Linked DNA regions of Struthio camelus. The protein of the gene in region 1 purifies or fractionates together with the protein of each later gene. This does not show direct contact. Links are inferred from orthologs where the notes say so. Each region holds a gene or a part of one and is shown on either strand. Other genes may lie near its edges.

Region 1 (7,484 bases):
TCAGAGCTGTTGTAGGGGCTATCACTGCAAATATCTTCTGGCTGAATAGTAAGAACAAAACACTAGTTTTAAATATGGTGAAGTGTTGTTTATTTTTTAATTAGACTACCAGGGAAGTCCCAGAATCTGTAGCATACAGACTATACAGACACTATAGTAAACAACTGCTCCATTTACCTTACGCACAATTCAGAGGTCCTATGTAAGAGTCTATACTGGGGTTCAGTCGGGGGCAGAGGTACCTGCTTTGGGGCAGGGGCACCTTCAGACCCCATTACTGAGGTGTTAAGAACACTTAGAGGAGGCAGTCTGAATAAATCTCCAGTGAACGTTCAGAATGCTAAGCCTAGTTACAACATTTAGGATATTCCTATTAATTAGTTTCTTTCCTCATTCTGCTCTATTATTAGTACAACAATAATCCGAGAGAACATATTACTAATATTTACTACTGTTTCAGTACTATATCCACTGTCAATAGAAAGGCCTTTTTTCTTTCCTGCCCTAGCTAGTTTCATGGAGTTGTTAAATTCTGCAGTGCAGTTTTGCACATGGCTCTTTTTAGAAAATGATAATGTTCCATTTTCTATTTTATCGGAAAAATGCAACTCTTTCCAACCTATTTTTCCTAGTGATTTACCAAAATTTTCTTCTTGAACTTTAGGACATGACTCCTTATCTCATTATCACTGTGTTTAGACATACAAAATACAGTGGATCACACCAGCTTTCTCACAAAACCTCGTGCAAAAATACAACATTATGGTCCCCAAAAACATAATTAGTATAAACTAACCTTGAAAGAGATACATAACAGAAGAATAAAACAAATTTAAAAGTAAAAATAAACTATTTAGTCTTATTTTTCTTATCAAGTTAACACCTTTAAATGGAAGCCATTTTTAATTAGTCTCTCTCCTAAGCCAATAGCTGCATTTCCTTTTGCCTATTAAGGCAACTTAAAGCAAATAATTGAAATAGGGTGCTGGACTCCAACCTTTTTTTTTTTTTTTTTTTTTTTTTAAAAGTCAAATCACTGAACTCAATCATTGACTAAGTCCTGCAACCTGAGCTCAGAGAAGTGCTCCCACCTCCACACACACACACAACCTTGAACACTACTGCTCTTCAAGTTCAAAAAATACGTTTGAGCTCGTTCTGCTACTCCAACTGAATGACCAGTTCATTCAAACTGAAGAAACATATTGTGTGTTGAGGAAATGGGAATTTTGGTTTCTTTTCATTTGTATAAATTGGCAAGAGACACCTACTTCTGCAAGAGTACTCATGCTCATTTCACAGTATAACAGCTGAAAAAATAATACTCTAAATGTTAAGCTATATACTGCATGAACAAACATGGGAGTAGTAGAATATTCTCCTCATTAGGAAAAAGATGTACCAAATTACATGAGTGAGAATCAACTTCCATTTAACAACCTTCTTTGAGGTATAAATGGAAAACAAAATTAAAATCTACTAGTTTAAATCTAATGTTTCTTGCTCACTGACTTCAATCTTGATTAGATTCAACAAATTCAAACCAAACCACCTTGATTTATTTTGGGCCATTTAAATCTCTGTGTTATACAGTCACTTGAAAAACTGTTACCAGTTTGATAGTTGTTTAATTACCTATCGTACACAGCATACTGATGTTCCCAGGCCAAGGTGGCTGCCATCCTCTAAACTTCAGCATAGAAAAGTTGCCTTTTGACTGTTTCTTATTTCAAAGTCCATGCAGGAAATTCCTATTTCCTGATGCAATTCTTCCATCATTTCAGCGCAAAATAGACACAAAATGACAACAACTACGGACAATTTTAAATAACACAAGTTAATTTTACTTTTCAAGCTTTCATTCTTATACATTATGCCATATAACCATGAGCAAGGGATGTTTATCCTTGCACAATAGGGGATAAAAAATTATGAATGTATTTTGAAAGCAAATTAAGTGGAAACTATTGCCAATCATTGTAGCATGCTTGGTGCTAATACTGTTCCCCAAATGACCTGGTAGATGAATGCGGCACTGCATATCTAAAAATTTAGAGCTTAACAAAACATGTTTCAGTTTTATCAGCCTAAGACAGCTTGGTCCAAAAGGTTGAACCAATTAAGCTCCTCACTTTCACTCACCAGATCACACCTCCTAATGACTTTTCTACAATAAAAGTGATACTCTGACATGATTTTTTTTATTTTGGTTTGTTTTCTAAAGAGAGTCAGCTTTTTGCTTCCAAATCATAATATATTAGCAGAAAATAAAACACTTAAGACCAATCAAAAAAGAATTATTGCATACTCTCCTCTAAGCATACAGTTGGACTATGTTTGCCATGGCTCAAGTTCTCAGGAAACGCTTAAAGCACATGTGTTAATGTGCTTTAAATGGCTATAAGAAAAGGGGCTAAGTTGACACACATGAAGTTGGTGAAGACTATTTCCTGTTCTACTCTAGTAAGGATTGTACAAAGAATCTCGAATCTGAAAAGTCAGCCTAAAAAAAATGAATTTCCAATATAACTTGGAGAATACAGCTAGAGAAGTTTTTATTCTGACAAATGAGATGCTACATCTTTGAACATCTAGCAGTTTCAGAGCAAGTCGAGGCTGCAATCAAAACATCCATTAGAGTGCTCCACGTTTCAGAACAAGCAAGCAAGTGGTTGTCAGTGCAGCCAGTAAATCACCTGATCCTATTACAAAATCAATTACTGCAGCACATTTCTATTGCTACACAACCTGATGATGGCAAAATGATATTGGATAGCTACTGCAAGGTCAAGAAAACTGCTAAGAACACCTGAAATCTGTCTTTTTATCACATAAGTTCAAATTATAAAGCATCCTGTTAATGGTATATTTTAATTTTTGAATATAGTTACCTTCTTTGGCTGACTGAGACATTCAATGGACAGTCTCTGCAACTGCTCTGATGTATGGCTGCAAGATAGCAGATCGGAGCAGCAGGTCGAACAGCCCAGCCTCTTCATTAAAGAAGAAATAATGCTGCAGCCACAGCCACACATTGACTTGCTCATCAGACGAGTTTATTCTTAAAGAAATCGGGACAGTCGGCGTCCCGTAAACGCTCAAAACTGCTCAACCGCTTCATTCTGCAGCTCCCTGGCTGAAATTAAGACTGTTGAACTGAAGGAGGAGGGAAGAAGGGGAAAAAAAAAAAAAAAAAAAAAAAGGCACTTGTCCAGGGAGCGTCGGCCCAGCCCATCATCAGCAAGTAAACGCGGGCTTTAAAAAACGTGCACGTTGTGCCCGGGACTCCTCTTTGCGGAGCGCCTCCCCGCTGCCCGCCCGCTGCCCCTCGGGCCGGCCCCGGGGCCACCTCCCACTGCCGCCCCGTGGGCTGCGCTCCCCTCCGGGGCTGCCAGCTCTTAGGGCTCCACCAGTCCAAACGACAGGCGAGAACGTCGAGCCCTGTGAGGCGGCTGGGCTCCGCAAGTGTCTTTTTGCACCACCTTAAAAAAAAGATAAATAAAAAAAATTTTTTTTCTTCTAACTTCAAAAATGGGAAAGCCCTGAAAAAAAGCATGCTGGGGTCTAGCTAGATCCTGAAATAAGAATGGCTGCTAGGAAGCTGTGTGAGCCAGGAGGACATCAGGAAACAACAGCAAAAATGTAAACGGAGGAAGAAACAAGAAGGAAAGAATTTGAAGTAGAATGTCAAAAGGTAACAGAGCCAACTCCCGAGAGAAGTTACAGGGGCGGCTAGCATAAGCAGCTTTGATAAAGTCTTGGAGGAGTCCTTCACTCAGAGAAAAAAGGATCTGGAAGCAGCAGAACTCATTCAAACGAGCAGTCAGACATAAAAAGGCCTTCTAAAAGCAGTATACTCTGGTTGCAATAGTGAATACCTTTCTAACCTAACGCATGCAATTAACTCACTATGAGAAATATCTCATTTTCAGGAGATACTGGTACAATAACCATGTAATTTTTCCTTCCCATATTTAAAAAAAGATGCAAGTAATATTGTAAAAAGCTCATTTTAATTGGTTTAAGACAGTATGCCATACTGCTTCTAAAAGCAGAAGGTCTCACATTAACACAAATGCTTAACCTGATTACAGGATAATCTGACTTGAAATAATTGTCACTTACATTTATAGAGCTATCATGACTTGCCTGGTTCAATAGCATCCTCTTTATCAAAAGGTTAAGAAAAATGCAAGTGACATGAAAGCAGCTTAAATGAATACATTGACAAAAAACTTCTTGTTTTTGCAATGCACTGAAAGCTTAATTTCTCTCCTGCTCCCTCTCCCCTCCCCTTTACTGTTTCTCTCTTCCCCCTCCCTTTCTTTGGTTTAAAGCTCAACTGAGCCTCTCCCTTCACCTTGCTCTGCCCTTTCGATATCCGTGTTTCCATTAAATCAGTTTCCAGTTACATCTATATACGAGCATGCACAACAAATTGAACAATAAAAGAAAGCCTTTGGTAGATAAAGACTAGAGATGCAAACAAGGAAAATAATGCAGTAACCTTTTACTCGCCTGCTGGAGGTACTGTCTGCTGCACAGAATTTTAAATCCTCATCTGCAGATGCAATTGAGCTGGTATTGCCAAGGACTTTGCTCTTCCTGTGCTCATTCTACACAGCTATTCATCGAAAGAGCACATTATATAGGAAATTTAAAGTAATATCAGGTGAAATTACTCAGATGGCTAGAAAGGAGCCAACTTCTAAAAAAATCAGCTATTGCACATTACAGAGATATGTCAGACACATTAGTGAAGAAAGTCTTATTGCTGATGCATGCTTGCCAGCAATGTGCAGGATGTGGAAGCAGAGAGAGCTAATGAAAAAAAATTAATACACAGATTTAAAGTGCAAGGATCATGCTCTTATGCTCAAAACTTCACATATCCTGCATACCACAAAAACCTCTGTTCACAAGCTTCTATTGTTTAGAAAGCTAAGAAAACAGTGGTTAAAAACAACCCTCACATCCCCCCACTTCAAAACCTGGTCTCTCAGTAGACTGCAGATAAGTTCCAATAAAAATATTCATACTGTACACACAGTATTTCTAATAAATGAAAACCCTACCTTTTTCTTTTGGCAGCATACAGTTAAGGATCACGCTATTATATTTCTTAACAAGGGACAGACTAAACAAAAACAGCTGTATTTTGGATAATGGATTTAAGTCTAATCAGGTTACAAAGTACAGTTGTATCTCACTAGAATTTGTATTATTCTTAGCAGAAATGAAATGCCGCCTAAGAATATAATAATAGCAGTAAAGCCTGCTATTCATTATTTATGATTTTTCCCCTCCTCATGTCAGCTTCCTTAATGTACTATTGATTCTAGGATGCATGCAGATAGGGCTTGTGACAGACAAGCCACAGCTGTATAGGCTATCTGCAAAATAAATATTTTTAGGAACATCTAATATTTTTGCTGAACATCTAAGCAATAATACTGCAGAATTTGCGTTTCTATCTACGGACAGTGGAATTTAAGTCCCTCTGATAGTGATGTAGTTCAACAGAGAAGAACAAGCTTTGTTTTTCACCTATAAATGTCCTATAATGCTATTTTAAAAAATGAGAACAGATTTGCTTAAATTTCACATTGCTGTTACCACAATATTTTGTTTCTTCTACTTTTCTAGCATCTGATTCCAGAAAAATTCTCAATACATCGGTACTCCGTCTTTCCTCTGAAGTTAAAATTGGTTGCTATTAGTTTTTTTCATTACTTCCCTATTTCTAAGTGAAATATTACATATGTGATGTTATCCTTTATAGTATTCATTGACAGGACAGAGTCATGCAGACATCATCCTTGGAACTGTTATATTTCAGAACACCAGTTACTTTTACTAGTATATTAACTCTCACTACTTCCACAAACTTGGTCAAATCTGAACTTTAAAAAAAAAAAAAGCAGGATTGCTTATGGTTTCAAAGGAACATTTATCATACTAATAAAGCTTCCTTGTCATAGTCTCCATTACAAGCCACAGCTGTTTTTAAAAAAAAAAAAAAAAAAAAACATAACGGAGAGATGATTTCATGCTGAGCTAAGGCTGTACTCTCTTGTATGCAAAATCTAAATGGGCAAACAGCCAGACACACTCTTAGTTAAAGAGCCTGAACACAGAATGCGGAAAAGACTGTAGACTATGAAAAGCATAAGTAGTAATGAAAAAAAAAAAATGTGCAGAATATATACTTCACTATATTGTTCACAATAATATATATAGAAACAATATATTAACTGTGAAATAAAGCTCCTGAACAAACAAATATATACAACTTCCTTACATCTTTAAGAAATAGCAAGAGAACACCAGAGAGGCTATATGTGTAAAGGGTTTGGAGAGAGAAATTTTCTGCAACAGATGAATGAGTCTTAAACTCTTTGAAAGAGGGTATGAAACAGCAGAGAGCTCTGGCTTGTTTGATGGCCTGGCCAGCTCCCTCCTTTTGCCTGCACAACTATCTAAGTTCCACTGTCTCAGAAAGTAAATCCAACATAACACAGCCATCTAACATTTTACTTTTCAGAATTATCAAAAAATAGCTAATTGATATGTAAGCATACTTCCTTGCACTGAATCAGTCTTCTCAAAGTTGATTCTTAAATTATTGCTAAAAAAAACAGCTAAGCTTTCAATACATAACTAAATTTTAATACAGTCAGACTACACATCTGTTTGTGCAAGACAGAAATTAGCACAGGATAAGAATTTAGGCATTTTTTTTAATTATTTTTCAAGTGAAGATGACAGCAATATGAAGGAAATCCTTCAAACTTAATTAAAAATAATACAACTTAAGAATTTATACTGTCATGAACTATTTTTAAGCTATGTATTTCATCAGAATCCTAAAAACTGCTTGACATACATATATCAAGAGCCCTTTCATATACCAGTATGATAGGCAAATAGATACAAGACAGTTTCTAACTGAAGGTTTACTATGGGTAATAAAAAACTTTAAATAAACGATTCAAGTTGAAGCAGTAAATTGCTTTTAAAAGACGCATCTCCTGCACTCTGAAAAAATCAGAGAGGATTCTAATCTAAAGGTGCCAAATTTTCTTTGGATGTTTGGACTCTCATCTCAAAAACGATAAAAAAACAAAGTAAAACAAAACCGCACTCTTACAAGTTCACTGACCCTACAACAGGGCACTTTCAAAGCAGTTACAGGAAGGAATTCCCAGTTTCAGTAGCGTGATCCAAGACACAATGCAACAGAAGTGGTTTTCAGCTTCACCAGCCTTTCTCAAAACCTTGCTAGTTTTCGTTTTTTATTTGGCCAAGCAGATACATGGGTAATCAAACTCAAACTCATTCTTCCCCCTCCCACAAAAGAGGAGCTACAAACAAGGGTTTCCATTCCAGAACTGCATAATTTGTACAGCCTAGTACAGGGCAAACACTGGTCGTACTTCCTGAGACACCATCTCGTGTCCGACTTCCTTTGCAGATAACAACTT
Region 2 (7,333 bases), on another chromosome or scaffold:
AAATGTGTTCCCTGAGGGAAAATTTGCTCTCATTTCACAAAAGCAGAAGCAAGTGCAAAACAGAAATCTGAGAGAGTCATTCATTCAGTTCTACATAGGGATTTGCCTGATTTGCCACGTGACAGTTCAGCAGAACTTTCTATGCTGTCTGTGGAACTGTTTATAAACTATGACTTGCTTTCTGGGATGATGTACTTTCCTTTAAAAAACAATCTATCCCTCAAAAAGTAAACAATATGTGGAAGAAATAACAACTGCTCTGTACTGTTATCGTTCGCTGGCTAGCCGTGTAACTTGGAATAATCATTCTGTAAATGTAGAAACAATTGCTTTTTGCCACAAGGAAGCAATGCAGTCTTTTAAAGGGACTATTCAGGATTCATTGTTTTCATTGTGTACAGGTAAACCTAGTAGTTCTGCACAGCATTTCTTCATAGTTTCAAACTGAGCTGAGGAGAAAGCATCTCTTTGTGGCACTTGAGGAACCTTGGGCTATTTATTTTGTAAATAGTTCAGTGAGGGTGTTCTCATTTTCAGTGACCGATGATAACTTCCATGGTGATTGTAACTAAGCCAACTACTACAGACAGAAGCAGAAAAGGAGCACTCATATCATCCCTCGTCATAACTCAGTGCTCATGTGAGGAGCACTGCCAGCCGATCTCAGGAAAAGAGTAACTGTAGGCAATCAGGACTGTGGCAAACTGCTGGGGGTGAGCTGACCTGAAAGCAGCTATGATCGGAGGAGAAGGTGTGATCATCGTCTTCCTTACATACATCATAGCTTTGCAGTGCTGACCAGGACCTGAGTCCTGTAAAACTGACCCTTCAGTAGGTACTAAGCGTGCCTGCTGCCTTGCAAGAGCCACTTAGGTTTTCATGTAATCAAAACCAGGTCCGTGTTAAGGACCTTTTGCATTTTCTGTTGGTATAAAAGGGAATGAAAACAGCTTTACCGATCAAAGAAATCCCTGCCACAAAGCATGCTGAGCTCCATGACTTACACGTTTTCCTAAGCTAAAGCCCCGTGGCTTTAGCTTGGTTGTAGTCTGAACATAACTCAAGTACATAGCATGTATGCTGTGCTCAGGAAGACTGACCTTGGATGTGAGTGTCATCCCAAACCCATTTTTTGCAACAGGCTGTTACAGAAACAGTGGCTCCGCCTTCTACAATAGAGCTTGACTTTCTTCAGGCCTCCTCCATACAAGCTTAGGCCTGTGCTCAGTCCCTGGGCGTCCTCACAGTCTCCATCTGGCGCTAGCCCCTGCTTCAAGCCTGTCTTTACAGCAAATGTGCAAGCTGGTGATGCGGAGGGAAGACTCAGCTTTAAAGTGCGCGTAACTGGTAATGTCCATATATTTAAGGGAGAGATGAAAGTTCAGACTCCTTGATATTTAATAGCTCCATGGCTGGAGTAAACAGCTAGCATGTGAGGGACGCAGTTCAAATCCTTCTTCCTCTGTCTGATCTGGAGCAGTGATTTGACCTTGAGTCTCTGTCCAAGAGACTTGCCCTAGCTACTGTGCTATAGAGTGGCTTTGCTGGCGGCTCTTGCTGAAACTCTCCCAATTTGTAGAAAATACTATATCTGTGTGCAAACAATAGCCACACCTGGACATTTTCTTACACTTGTTTTAAAGCTTTCAAAAAAGTTTCCTTTCAAGATGTAATATTTTGAAAAGTAATACACACTTATACGGAAAATCTGTGAATATACGGAATGCATTCTCAGGTGATTTGATTCCCATCATTTAGAAAATGAAGTTACTTTGACTTTCAGTGCAATATCAAGGCAATACTCCCAACTATCCAGCCAGATTCAAACTAAAAGCTGCAGTGCATGCTCTAAAACATGGGAAACATGCAGGAAGATAAAAAGTTCAAAGCAAAGAAGAGTATACGGGCCATTAAAGTTCAAGCACAGGATTAATTTCAACTCAAGTCTAACTCTGAAGTTTTTTTAGTCCCATTGTCAGGATTGCATAACTGTCAGGATGAGGTGAACCGTTGGCTTTGACAGCTGAACAACCCAAACCAGAAAGCTGGCATGTGCACACAAGTCAGGTAATGTAAGAAATACTTTTGTCTTTCCTTCTTCCATACATGTATGATGGCAGGAGCCATGTGGAAGGAGGAGTGGTGTGTATATGTCCTCCCCCTCATCCCTTCCTGCTTAACTGTTCACATAAACTGCTTCTTCTTGAAAAATGTTTCCGTATTTGATGTTCTTCAAAAATTAATGAAGAGCCCTAGTATAAGGACTCCACTTTTATTTTGTCCCATAAGAAGAAGTTGACCTACTTGATGAATGCAATCCTCCTAAGAAAGCTGTGAATTTTGGGTGAAAAGGCATTTATCTCCAATCTAGAGATAGGTGGCCAGGACTTTTGAGGGTTTAGACTTATCCCCTACTCCTTGGCCTTTGCTGTTGTCTAGCTTAACTCTCTACTCAACAGTTCTGTCCATCTCATTTCTTACGTGCATCACTCCTGTACAGGGGTCACCGGGTCTCACCATTTCTCTAGGTGGCAGGCTGCATAAAGATAAGCAGTGCTAGCATTCTTGTGAGTCTAACCCTTGCTGTGTCACTTGTTTACTTCTGATTGAATAAAGTGAATGTCTGCAATAAAATAAAATTGATCTTGCAACAAATGCCAATCAGTTGCTCATTTTTATTAAAAGTCGTCTGCAAAAGTCGTCTGGTCTCTTCATATTCCCAAGCATCAGACACTTCAGGTGAATAAAATTAGCAACTAGTACAATTTTAAAATCTGAAGGTCTGAGGGAGGCCACAAGTAATTTTGTTTTAGAATCACAGAAGATTTCCATTCCTGTTTCTCCCAAATTCTTATCACTGGCACAATGCTTTGAAACTTTTTGGTTGGATTCTTCTTTTGTCTCCATTCATATTTGCAGCTTCCAGTTATTTTAAATTCCACACTATAATCCCACCTCTCCAACTTCCATGTCTTGGGGAGCAAGACATCCCTAATTTCTCTGCTTAAACATGTGTTTTGTAGATGGTATTTCTTTACCATAGAGACATCTGCTTTTGGGACCTAAGATTTTACTAGAATATACTGGAATAAAACTGGTGTGGTGCAGTATAGTGAAGACTAGGACCCTTTAGCTATTGCTTGCTTTTAACATAGATTGCATTGCAGATATTAGGCAGATCCATCACTTTTTCTTCTTCTTTCACTTTCTGCTGTCATTTCCATTATTAAATAACTATATTTAGACCGCAGACTGCCTTAGACAAATAGATGTAAGAAAAATGTAGGGACTGTGCATTAAATATCTCATAAGTGATATACATCCTTAGGATATATCCTTAGAAAACAGCTCTTATGCCATACAGCTCTTATGCTGTATGTTGTCCATCCCAACTGTCTCCAATAGTGTTTGAAGCCATCGGCTCTGTTCCAAAGTCTCCAAGACAATTAAGTTTCTGTAAGTCTTGCATAGATTAAGGATGTCTTCTCCAAGTGTGCTAGGAGATACTATTAGTTGGGAGTCTCTAGAGACTACTAGGCCTCCTTAGGGCTCTGGCAAACAAGCATGGCAAATCAAAATCAGAGGCCTGGAGCCGTCGCTGCTTCTGGCTGTCCATCCTGCCCAAAGCAGGAATGACTGAAGCGCTGATGAAACAGCTTTTGAACAACCACAGTTCTCAGCCTGGTCTTTTAAGGTGAACTGATCCCCTGGTTTTCTGGTACCTGTGGTCTTTGTGAATAGGGTTTAATTGTTTGGGTAAGTCTGTACTTATTTGATAGACTTATTTTTCACTCCGGTGCCTTCAGAAACCCTCCTAGGTCGGAGGGGAAGCGGCGGGAGGAAGGAGGCATGCTCTGAGGGGAGCAGGCGCGCCGCTGGATTTTCCGGCGCTAGAAGGGTTTGGAGCAGTTTTACGCTTTGGCCCCCTGCAACGTTTCACCCCGGCCACGCTCCCGCCTGGGAGGAGGTGGCGCCCGCGCCATGCCGCGGCCCACGCCGAGGCCGGCGGTGCGTAACGCGAGCGGTTTGCCGGCCGGGCGCCGTCCGTGCTCGGGGGCGGGCCGGTTGCCTTTCACCCGCGGGCGCCCGGCAGGCAAGAAGGACTCCGTCGGGAGATACGTGAGAGAAAAACACACCTCCCCGCGCAGGGGCTGGCGGAGGCAGCGCCCGCCGCCCCGGGGCCTTGCGTGCGCGCTGCTTCGCCCGCCCGCCCCGGCCCGGCGCCGGGCAGGCCCCAACGGCCGCCGCCACCAACGGCCGCCGCGCGCGCCACCCGCCCAGCCAGCGTGAGCGCGCGCGCGTTGCCAGGAGACCGGGGCGCGCGGCGGCGGAGCGGGAGGGGGGGGGAGGAGAGGGGGAGGGGGGGAGGAGGAGGAGGAGAGCTACGTGGTGACGTTAATTCTATATGAGCGCGAGCGGCGGGAGCTCGGGTCTTTTTACCGCCAGCCGCGCGGCGCCTCCTCCTCGCTCCTGAGTCACGGCGAGCCCCGGCCCCGCGCAGGTACCGGGCGGCGCGCCGGCCCGCTGCCGCCGGCGGGGGGGGGGGGGGGGGGGAGCGGGGTGCGGAGGCGGCAGAGCGGGCGGCGGCGGGTCCCGGCCCGGCCCGGCGGAGCGAGGCCGCCAGGGCGGTGGTGGTGGTGGCGGCCGCGCCGCTCCCTCGCGGCCCGCGGGATGGCGGCGCCGCTGCTCTCGCCGCGCCCCGGCGGGGAACGGCGCCTCTGTCCCTCCCCCCCCCCCACCTCTCCCAACCGCTTCCCCCTCCCCCGCACGTCCGCGGGTGCCTCCGCCGCCCTCGGCGCCCCGCGGAGGGGGCAGGGCCGGGCTAGGCCAGGCCGCGCTGCCGGGGCCCGGCGCTGAGGGGAGGCGGGTGCGTCGCGGCAACACGTGGGGCCGGCGGCGGGGCGCGGCCGGGAGCCGGCGGGGGGCAGCGGAGCGGCGGCCCCGCGGTGGTGGTGGTTGGGGGGGGGCGGCGGCGGCGGCCCCGTGGTGGTGGTGGTGGTTGGGGGGGGGGGGAAGGGGGCGGCCCCGGGGGTGTTGCGCGGCCGCGCGCGGTGGCCTTGTGCGGGCGCCCGCTCCTTGTTGTCTGGCGCTCGCCTGGAGCGAGGCGAGACTCCTGTGTGCTGTGCAGCTCGCCGCTGGCAGGGGGACCCAGAGATGCAGTCAGCGGCTGGGCGACTCGTGCTTCCCTGAGGAAAGACTATTTTTTTTTTCCCTCCCCCCCCCCCTCCGCTTTTTCTGGAGTTCAACATGTCTCTTCGCTGGATGCTTGCTGGCTAGGATCACCCGGAATGAGGCCTTTGCTTTCTTCCTGATTGTAGATGTATCCAGCGTAAAGGACTGGCAGCAGCAGTTACATGAGATGAGCGATAGTCTGCCATCAAGAAAGACTTAAGAAAGTGCCTGAGGGAGCTAGTGACTGCAGTTGGAAGTCCTGGAGTGTGTTTGTCATTGCCATATACATGAAAAAATACAAAATATCCATCCATTACACGTCAGATATTTAGGGGGACTTACACTGTCAACGTTTACGAGGATTTCGGTATTTAGAACAAAACCTTCCCCATTTGCTTGCAGAAAAACCCACCATAAACTCTCTGAAAGTGGTTGTGATAGAGTGATAGTATGGCAGTGTCTTCCCCAGTTTCTCTCCAAGCACACTGTAGCTGGTGGATGGGTTTGATGCATCACATTTTGTGTTTTGAAACCCCATGGAAAGATGCTTATGTTTCATATTGTAATTCTTTGAGAGGAATTTAGAGTAACAGTAGAAGTGGCCATTAAACTTGCAAGGTATGACAAACAACCCCTCTCCCAAAAAATGGAGTTTGAACTTTTAATGATAATGGAGGTTCCTTGTAATTTTCCTCTCAGTCATGAAATAAAACCTGAGAGAGAACAGCTAGGAGGCTTAAGATAGTGTGCAAAGTTGTGAGTACTTTCTGACAAAGTAGCTAGCTTGTTAGTAGCTTGTTAGTAGCTTGTTAGTAGCTTGTTAGTAGCTTGTTAGTAGCTTGTTAGTAGCTTGTTAGTAGCTTGTTAGTAGCTTGTTAGTAGCTTGTTAGTAGCTTGTTAGTAGCTTGTTAGTAGCTTGTTAGTAGCTTGTTAGTAGCTTGTTAGTAGCTTGTTAGTAGCTTGTTAGTAGCTTGTTAGTAGCTTGTTAGTAGCTTGTTAGTAGCTTGTTAGTAGCTTGTTAGTAGCTTGTTAGTAGCTTGTTAGTAGCTTGTTAGTAGCTTGTTAGTAGCTTGTTAGTAGCTTGTTAGTAGCTTGTTAGTAGCTTGTTAGTAGCTTGTTAGTAGCTTGTTAGTAGCTTGTTAGTAGCTTGTTAGTAGCTTGTTAGTAGCTTGTTAGTAGCTTGTTAGTAGCTTGTTAGTAGCTTGTTAGTAGCTTGTTAGTAGCTTGTTAGTAGCTTGTTAGTAGCTTGTTAGTAGCTTGTTAGTAGCTTGTTAGTAGCTTGTTAGTAGCTTGTTAGTAGCTTGTTAGTAGCTTGTTAGTAGCTTGTTAGTAGCTTGTTAGTAGCTTGTTAGTAGCTTGTTAGTAGCTTGTTAGTAGCTTGTTAGTAGCTTGTTAGTAGCTTGTTAGTAGCTTGTTAGGTTAAACTTGATGCAGTGCCCCTTTTTCAATGATAAACTTATTAAAGTAAGTGAATGGCACAGAACTTGGACTGAAATGAGCTGACTAGCTTCTCTTCTAAATCCAGAAGTTATTTTACCCTTTTGGGACAAAATTAGGACAATTGAATTCTACACACATTGGAATTTGAATGAATTTTGGATGCCTTTCTACCAGAAAAAAACTTAGGCCCATCAGTGCTTCAGGTACCTGGAGCACTGATACAAATGCTTAGAATAGGCCATTGGTACCTAAACTTTTGGTTGTGTAGCCCACTTATTCCTGTGTGAGAGATATGTATTAGGACTCCTTCCTTTACCGCCCCCCCCCAACTCCTTTCCTCTGTTTTGTGACAGGTCTTGCATATCATGTGTTTCTGGTTTCTGGGGCAGTGGGTTATCTGTGCCTATGTAGAAGGAGGGACTTATGCATAGACAGTATACCTGGTGCTTTTCAGAGCCACTATCTACGCAGTCAGCCCAGTGGTTTGGGAAGCATGCACCAGAGGTGGTGGAGGAGTGGTGGTGGAGTTTACTGTAGTGGTGTATGTATGCACTGCAGTAGTGCAGTAGTGTGCTGTTGTCATCCTTATGCTTCGTCTAGTCCATAGCTTACTCCAAAACTGTTCATGGGACCAGGCAAGGGAATTGGTATGGTGAGCTGCTTACTGAGCACTTTGAAAACAGGTGGTCTGTTTTTTTCTTAGCCTCTTGCATGACTGGGA

What was found.
Region 2: the proteins of FBXW7 (region 1) and NAP1L1 purify together in Homo sapiens (affinity purification with mass spectrometry, with the first as the bait; 3 studies listed by BioGRID). This does not show direct contact. The link is inferred for Struthio camelus from reciprocal best matches to the Homo sapiens genes FBXW7 and NAP1L1.

The regions. Positions count from the first base shown.
Region 1 is NC_090945.1:38,375,932-38,383,415, forward strand, and holds the start of FBXW7 (F-box/WD repeat-containing protein 7), read right to left. Parts: upstream 3,009-7,484; 5' UTR 3,000-3,008; coding exon 2,892-2,999; intron 1-2,891. UniProt on the Homo sapiens protein: Substrate recognition component of a SCF (SKP1-CUL1-F-box protein) E3 ubiquitin-protein ligase complex which mediates the ubiquitination and subsequent proteasomal degradation of target proteins.
Region 2 is NC_090942.1:43,445,483-43,452,815, reverse strand, and holds the start of NAP1L1 (nucleosome assembly protein 1-like 1), read left to right. Parts: upstream 1-4,330; 5' UTR 4,331-4,501; intron 4,502-7,333. UniProt on the Homo sapiens protein: Histone chaperone that plays a role in the nuclear import of H2A-H2B and nucleosome assembly.